2 linked regions of the Rhinolophus ferrumequinum genome follow. The protein of the gene in region 2 purifies or fractionates together with the protein of the main gene of each other region. This does not show direct contact. Links are inferred from orthologs where the notes say so. Each region holds a gene or a part of one and is shown on either strand. Other genes may lie near its edges.

What was found.
Region 1: the proteins of STYK1 (region 2) and TMEM259 purify together in Homo sapiens (affinity purification with mass spectrometry; 3 studies listed by BioGRID and IntAct, with this or other methods). This does not show direct contact. The link is inferred for Rhinolophus ferrumequinum from reciprocal best matches to the Homo sapiens genes STYK1 and TMEM259.

What each region holds. Positions count from the first base shown.
Region 1 is NC_046301.1:61,945,799-61,949,711, reverse strand, and holds the start of TMEM259 (membralin), read right to left. Parts: upstream 2,396-3,913; 5' UTR 2,272-2,395; coding exon 2,041-2,271; intron 1-2,040. UniProt on the Homo sapiens protein: May have a role in the ERAD pathway required for clearance of misfolded proteins in the endoplasmic reticulum (ER). Promotes survival of motor neurons, probably by protecting against ER stress.
Region 2 is NC_046293.1:26,268,462-26,272,374, forward strand, and holds the start of STYK1 (tyrosine-protein kinase STYK1), read right to left. Parts: upstream 2,613-3,913; 5' UTR 2,271-2,612; intron 883-2,270; exon of another isoform or gene 548-882; intron 1-547. UniProt on the Homo sapiens protein: Probable tyrosine protein-kinase, which has strong transforming capabilities on a variety of cell lines. When overexpressed, it can also induce tumor cell invasion as well as metastasis in distant organs.

The sequences.
Region 1 (3,913 bases), on a different chromosome or scaffold from region 2:
GTCCAGGGCATCACATCTGTGTATCCCATCCACTGCCCCACCCTTGGGGAAAGGGCCCAGCTGGCCCAATGTGGCACCTGCCTCCCCAGGAAAGATGGGTGTAAGGGAGCCAGCATCCCCAGTGGCTGCTCAGCCAGACTGGGGTGAGCCCTCAGCTGGGCCAGCACAGCCTCCGACTACGCCCACACGCTCCCACACCAAATTCCCACTCTCCAGGACTAGCTGAATGTGTGGTCCAGAACTACAGCTTGGAAAAGCCTGGATCACAGACCAGAGCACAAAGCTCCTCCCTGCCCTATGATGGGGACACTGGTGCTCAGGGGGGTGGTGAGCATGGCCATACAGCCACTAGCGGGGCCACCAGACCGCCCACCATTCCATGCCCTGCCATGAGCCCTGAAGGGTGGTACCAACACCAGCGGTGGACCACCTGGTCCCCCTTTGGAGTATGTTCTGTGGCCTGGGCAAAGTCACCCACTCAAAGTTGGCCCAACCACAGTGGCTGTGACCTGAGAGAGATGGGGAGAAGCCCCGCCTCAGAGAGCACTGTTGCATGCCTGGATCCAGCCATGCCTGAAGCTGTAGGAGCCCACTACAGGCTCCCCAATTTCATGAGCTCCAAGATCCCTTTTGGGCAAATGTGAACTGTTTCCTTCACTTGCAGCCAGTGCCTCAGGAAGACAGAAATTACAGTATCACTGAGATCTCAGCAGACAGACATTGTCGCCCCCAGGCATTCAGGTCTCAGCAGACAGATGCAGAAACAAGAATACAGCTGGGGCCTCTGCCAGGGGAGGAGGCTACCGGGCGAAGCAGTGTGGCCAGACGAGCCTCCCACAGGCCAGTCTGCACCCCAGCCCTTCTCCCCAACATGGTGTCTGTGGACCACCAAGCTGGTGGTGAGAGTTGTGAAGTCCAGGGGGACCAGAGACCCACAGAGGTGACAGGAAGCAGCGAGACGGCTGACCCCGCAGCCGCTCTCCTCAGCCCTCTCTGCCCAGCTCTCTAGGCCCTGGGGCTGGTTGCCAACCCAAGCGCCTCTACTGCCAGCATCAGCCCCCTTTCTGCAGACAGACCTGAAGTTCGCCTGGCAGTATCCACACCCCAGTCCCTCCCCAGCAGCACTCTGACGGGAAACTAAACGGCTGCTTCTCCCTTTCCTCAGAAGTTTCAGTCAGAAACTGGGGCGCCCCTTCTGCTCAGGAACCCAGAACCCTGGCACTCGTCTGGCCAGCTCCTTGTCTGGACCCACACCTGAGTGACGCCCCTTCTTGGAAGGACCCAGGCCAACGCAGGTCCTTCCTAAGCCACACTCATGGCTGAAACCTCTGTGCCACCCAAGGGAGGGTGGGAAGGAGGTTCCTGAGTAGCAGCACTTGCTGTGACTTTGCCACTAACCCTGGCAAGTTGACCTTAGCTAGGTCACATATCCCCATGAAGTTCCGAGAAAGTAAAGGTGCAGTGGGGTACTGGTGGGGGAGTAAGTGAGTATTGAAGACAGGGGGAGCAGAAGAAAGACTTGGGAAAGGAGGTGGTACTTCCTGTGCCGGTGGGTGGCCCCAGGGTGTGTTCTGAGGGGGTCAAAGTGACTCTGGAATGGGGAAGCCCAGGATTGGCAATCTGGGGCAGGACAGGCCCGGGAAGTGCGGGGGTTCTCCCCGGGTGAGGATCCCAGGGAGCATGGTCAGGGGACACAGGACAGGAGGAGGTCCCGGACAAGTCAGAGCCAGGCTCCAGGCCTCACCGACGTGGGTCACCAGAGGTAGCGTGCAACCTGGGGAGTTGGGAGTGAGTTCCTGGAGTCAGGCTAAGGGGCCACCCAAGCAGTGAGACTGGGCCTTCCCAGGGTGAAGTCTCAAATAGGGGATCAGGGGCTGGGGTGGCACGCTTAAGGTGAGGATCCCCAAGGGAAGGGGCGGGATCTAGACCTCTGGGTGGGAGGGTTTCGCTGTCCTGGACAGTATCGGGGTCAGAGGTCGCAGGCCTAGGAAGAGGGTCCGGCCGCTGGGGTCAAGGGTCAGGGGTCGGAGCCGCGGTCACCTTGAGCAACACGAAGAACTCGAAGAGACGGCGGAAAGCGGGCGGGAAGAGCCGCGAGTAGGTCACAGCCATCTTGAAGAAGAGAGCGTGGAAGAGCCGGTCGCGCACGTTGATGAGTGGGTTGGGGTTGAGGTTGGGGGTGCGGGGCCCGCGTGCGGGGGCCGGGCCGCCGCCACCGCCACCACCGTTGGGCCCAGGCCCCGGGGCCCCGGGCGCTGCGTGCTCCGACATGCCGCCCAGCGTCGCGCTCTAATGGCCCGCGGGTCCCCAAGGGCGCCTCCCGGCCGCCATCAGCCGCCCTCGCCGCCGCCGCGATACTCACGGCCGCCAGGCCGCCGCCGCCATCTTCCGCCTCCGCAGCCTGCTGACGCCAGCGAGTCGCTGCGCCGGCAAGAGCGGTCCCCCTGCGCCGGTGGGGAACGCTGGGATGCCGGCGGCCGGAGGGAGGCGGCTCCCGCCCCCTAGCCTGGCCGCGCCTGGGGGCGGGACCGTGTGTGGTGGTCCAGCTCTTTTGCATATTGCCCCCCACAATCCTCCGCGGCTGCGAGGGCGCGCTTCGGGCAGTTAAGTTAGTCAACATCTGAGCGTTTTACGTGATCAAAGACACTTAAGTAAGCGCGACGGTAGGAGATGGTTCTTGTCGTGGTACTCTAGAAAGCCACACCGAATGGAAAAGTCGCTCTAACTATGAAATAATATTATTTATGGCCTTTAAATATCTCGTGAAAGACTTCCGGCAGACGTATCCCTTTTGTAAGCCACTGCGGGCCCCCACGCAGTACCCTGTGATGCCAGGAGACCCTTGGTGCCCCATAGGATCCATTGCCCAAATCGGAGGGACCCCTTAGACCCAATAGGGCGTCGACGTGCCTCGCCTCTTCCCTCATTGCGGAGCCGGGCGCTTGGGCAGACCTCTAGCGAGGTGCCAGTCCCCGAGCCAGCAGCAGCGCCGGCTGTTGACCGGTAGTTAGTAGAGCATGCGCTTGCGTGAGAGGGGAGTGTGGTTTGCCGAGCCGCGTTTCGCCTCATTCTCAGTCTCTCCTCACCGAGCCACAGGAAACCACCACAACGCTGATTTCTTCCAATGAAATCTTTGTTCCTAACCACCATTCCTACTTTTCCTACTTTTCCTCTGTTCAATTAACACTCTTCCCGTTTATTCTCCCGGCTTCTCTCGAATTGTAACTTGAGTGCCATCCCCAAGTAAACCCAGTTTTGCTGGTAAAATAACGATTTCATTTCTAAGGTTTGACATGGCTTTTTCCTTCTGTGAGCCAGGTTGATCAGACGGATCACTTCTTGTCTCCTGCTCCCAGACTCCTGTCCCTGCCGCATAGGACGCATCTGCCACATGCCACCCACCAGATCTTGGCCCATGGAGGGCGACAGTGGACAGGACTTTGCGAAGCAACCAAGTGGCCCTGAAAAGTGCTCGGGACCTGAGGTAGTTCTCAGATCCAGAGTCATGCCCTCCTCTTGGCTGCCCCAGGCTGGGACGTGTGCCTGCCGCACCTACTACATGCCAGGTGCTTCCACTACACTCTTCAAATCAAGGCTGGGGTTGGCCACGTGGAAGCATGGAAGGGCAGGAGGAGGAGGAGACAGGAGGCATGGGGCGAGGAGCCTGAGCGGAAACGCTGGGGAAGGACAATGGACACCCAGGCCTGCTGCAAATGGGTTCAGGGAAACAAGCTTACAGCGCCCAGGGCCCATGCGGCGGGTGTTAGGGACACAGTGGTGGCCACACAGGCTGGGTCTCTGCCCTCACAGAACTTGGGGACCAGTATGGAAACAGGCAAACAGACAAGGGGGTGTCGGGTCTAGTTCCTGACGGTGAGCGTCGCACCTTGAGGGGCACAGACTGCACCTCTGA
Region 2 (3,913 bases):
ATAAAGAACCTCGCAGATTTAGAACATTCCAGAACTACTTATCTCCAACATTCTGAAAACGATCTGTCCTTCCTGTCTTCAGATCCAATAAACATACTGAACAACTACCATGTGTCAGGTATTGTGCAAGGATGACACTGAGATTCAGACAGTAAGTTCTGAATTGGCCAGGGTTTTTTGTTGTTGTTTTTGTTTTTATAAAAAGACAAGTAAATGGCAGAGCAAGGTTCCATACTCCAGTCTTTTAATTTCAAACCGAATGTTCCGTAAACTACTTTATTGCGTGTATGTACTTACCACTCAAATGGACAAGACCAATAGTGTCGAGAAGGATTTATGTCAGAAACCAAAAGAATCATGAAAATCGTAATGCTGAGACCAAATTTCACCACCAAATATATCATAAATTGGAAAGTACAGATAAGTAGCATCTGCCTTTAAATGTGTTATCTAAAGTTTTATAGTGGGACAGACGATGTCTGCATGTCTGTCTTCTAAATGTATTCTGAAAATAAGGGTAGAATCAGAAATTTTTTCCAGTACTCACCAGATTGTGGAATCTTGGATCATTTTCTTTGTTTGCTCATTTTCCTGGATCTGATCCCAATCCTATTTCTATTATTTGCTTTTGGAAGGAAAGGGCCTAGTTTCCAGGACTAGTGATCTTTCACTGTGAGCGGGAGGATCAGGAAGAGACCAGAACTCCCACACGACAGAGCACTGGCCTGAGAATCCCACAGCACCTCAGGCTCCACCTTTCTACTGGAGCAAACTTGTGAGAAGACAAAAGTGAATGGAAGGTTCCCACTGAAGAGAGAAACTTCTTTAAATCCAGAGAATCAGACTTGTGTAGATAACTTGCTTTATCCTGGGTGATATCTCCTAGTGTGAATGAGGCAGAAAGCGAGGGGATCACCCAGAGGGAATTGCTTGTCCTCCTGTTCTTTAACGTGGAGGGGTTGTGATCATTTTGACCTTCATTCACCCTCCCCCACCTTCCTAGAGACCCTGGGCCTGAAAGGCACTTTGAAACAGCTGGAAAAGAGGCTCTGCCACGGTGGCTGGAGTCCTGACACTGTTTCAACAAAGACCTTTTGACAATAAGACTGAGCATTATCAGTTTTTCTTGCTTTTTAATTTTATCTGTCTGCAGGAATTCCTGAAGCACACGTGATGTGATATTCGGCAGAGATGAGGAAGACTAATTTGTATCTTGGCTCCTCCCCAAAAGTTTGCTCCATAGAGGAGCAGAGTGATGGCACACAGACAGGCCCCCTAAGTGTAGATAAGAAACACAGTGCTCACTAACTCTACAAGCAGATCGCATTTTGAATATGATCATATAGATGAACACACTGTATTTCCTTTGAGGTATACGAATTCAAGGCATTTTATTTTTATTATAATTATCATTCTATTTTCCCATATTCCTGCTTCCCTAATTCTTCATCTACTACATCACACCTCAAAAGCCCAGAAATAATATATGTTTTTTTAGGTAATTTTATTTGCTGCTTTATTTTTATCATCAAGGGAACCTTTACTGACACATTAACTTGCAGCCCAAATGTATATTATCATGACTCTAAAGCAGATGTTCTTCAGCTTTCATGAGATTCTCAAACGAATAGTGATCTCCCAAAAAGTCAACAATGGCTTTTCTTTTTTGGGGGCTGGGAAGGTCTATTTTCTTTGTGTGTGTGGTTTTTCAAAATTTTTTAATTACAGTTGACATACAATATTATAATACATTAGTCTCAGGTGTACAACATAGTGATTCAACATTTATATAACTTACAAAGTGATCTTACAGTAAGTCTAGTACCCATCTGATACAATACATAGTTATTACAATATTATTGACTATATTCCCTACGCTGTACTTTACGTCCCTGTGACTTTTATAACTGGCAATTTGTACATCTTAATCCCTTCACCTTTTTTACCCATCACCCCAATCCTCCTTTCCATCTGACAACCCCCACAAAGTTCTCTGTATCTATGAGTTTATTTCTGTTTTGTTTGTTCGTTTATTTTGTTTTTCAGATTCCACATATAAGTGAAATTATATGGTATTTGTCTTTCTCTGTCTGACTCAGAAATAACATGTCTTAAATTAGATATTCTCTATGCTCTAGATTTTCTCTTCCTGGGATTACCAATCAACAACAATTTCCCCAGTCCAGAAGAGGGAAAAGCCAAGAACACCCAAAGGACACCCCACTCTAAATGCGGGTTTGCCTCTGATCCATCTGTCTCCTTTCTCCTACCTGATAAGAGTCCAGAAGACACCGCGTGGGCTGCTGTCCCGGCTGCTTTCAAACACCTTGTACCCACTGATGTCAGTCACGCTGTATTTCCAAGGATCAGTGCCCCTCTTTCCAACTCATCCAGCTGAGCTTTCCTTCTAAGAGGGGACTTCTGGTACATTAACAATCTTTTGGCACTTCCATAAGTGAGGAGATCAATTCTGTTTTCTGGCCTCTCCTTCAGCCTATTCTAGCCCACTGCCCTCTGGCAGGGAGAAGGTTCCCCAGCTGAGGAGAACAGAAGGAAGACAGTCTGCAAAAGATTTCAGGAACATACATACATACACACACACACACACACACACACACACACACACACAGGCACGCGTGCATGGGCACACACAGTTTTCGTTCTCTGATAATGAGTGCCCTACGCAGGCAGGCAGAGACAAATGGGCGGAGCTTTCACAATCAGGAAAAACAACGCAGCTGCTATTTACCTCAGTACTGTCATACAGGGTGTGTTACTGTAAAGATTCTAAACTTAAATGTAATCCCAGGTAAACAAAAACAAATGCCTGGTAAGATGAAAAAGACACCTCTGGGAACACTGCACAGCCACGAGCAAGTAGCAGACTCCCCCTGAGCAGTGGGTGAGGGCTTCAGAGCCCGGCAGCCTGTGAGCTGGAGAAAGTGGCTTCAGCACTGACCTGGTGCTTAACAGAGTCAGGCTTTGAAGTTCTAGTTATGGTTTGGTAGGTAATTCATCAGGTTACCTGGAGCCTATCACCTGACCATGCCATTCCTTCTCTTCCTAGTTTAGGGACCAGGATACCTGTTCGTTTCCTGAGGACAGTGAAAAACAGCAGAGAACAGCAGGAAATGAGTCATACCAGAAAAGCAGCAGGCCATGTGGCAAGTCCCCTCAACCAGTTATTCCACCTCACCATTCTCAAATTCTGAAGGCTCCCTTGGACCTTCATCTCCCTACCTGGATCGTGGCAGACCCAGAAACTCACAAGTTTTTGTTTCTATCTCTACCCTGCCTATAATTTCCTAGGGGTTAGTGATAAGAGGAGGAGCTTTGGAGTTGGGCTTCTATTTGAATCTCACTTCTACCATTCATCATGACTGTAAGTAATTCTAACTTTCTGAACCTCTGTTTTTCCATCTGTAATGTAGAGGCTGGAATATCTACCTTCCAAGACTGTTGAAAGTCATATGGGATAATTTATGTAAAACACCTAGTACAGTGCCAGGACAATTCCAGACAATCAATGTATATCACCAGTCTCTCTCTTCCTCCCTCCCTTCTTCAGCTGTCTCCCAGGTTGGGAAGTAGTCACATAGCTGGACCAGATAGGTATGGCTGAATTAAGCTTTAATTAGTTTATAATGAGAAAATGGAAAGCAAGAAAGGTAGGAAGGCAGAACCATTTGAAAGCAGAGACATCAAAAGAAGAAAACTGGCTGAGGGTGACAGAGAATACAGAAGGAGAAAGAAAAAAGCTTTCTAAAGACCTAGTGATCAAAATCAAAGAAAGGGAGAATCACTAAGTAAAGATTTATGGCTTCAAAGAGGACTCTTTGACAGACGACTCTCTTGGCCAAAAGTCAAGGTGAAGCCTGGCGGTTTAACGAGTTCTTCCTTATTGCTAAAGGCA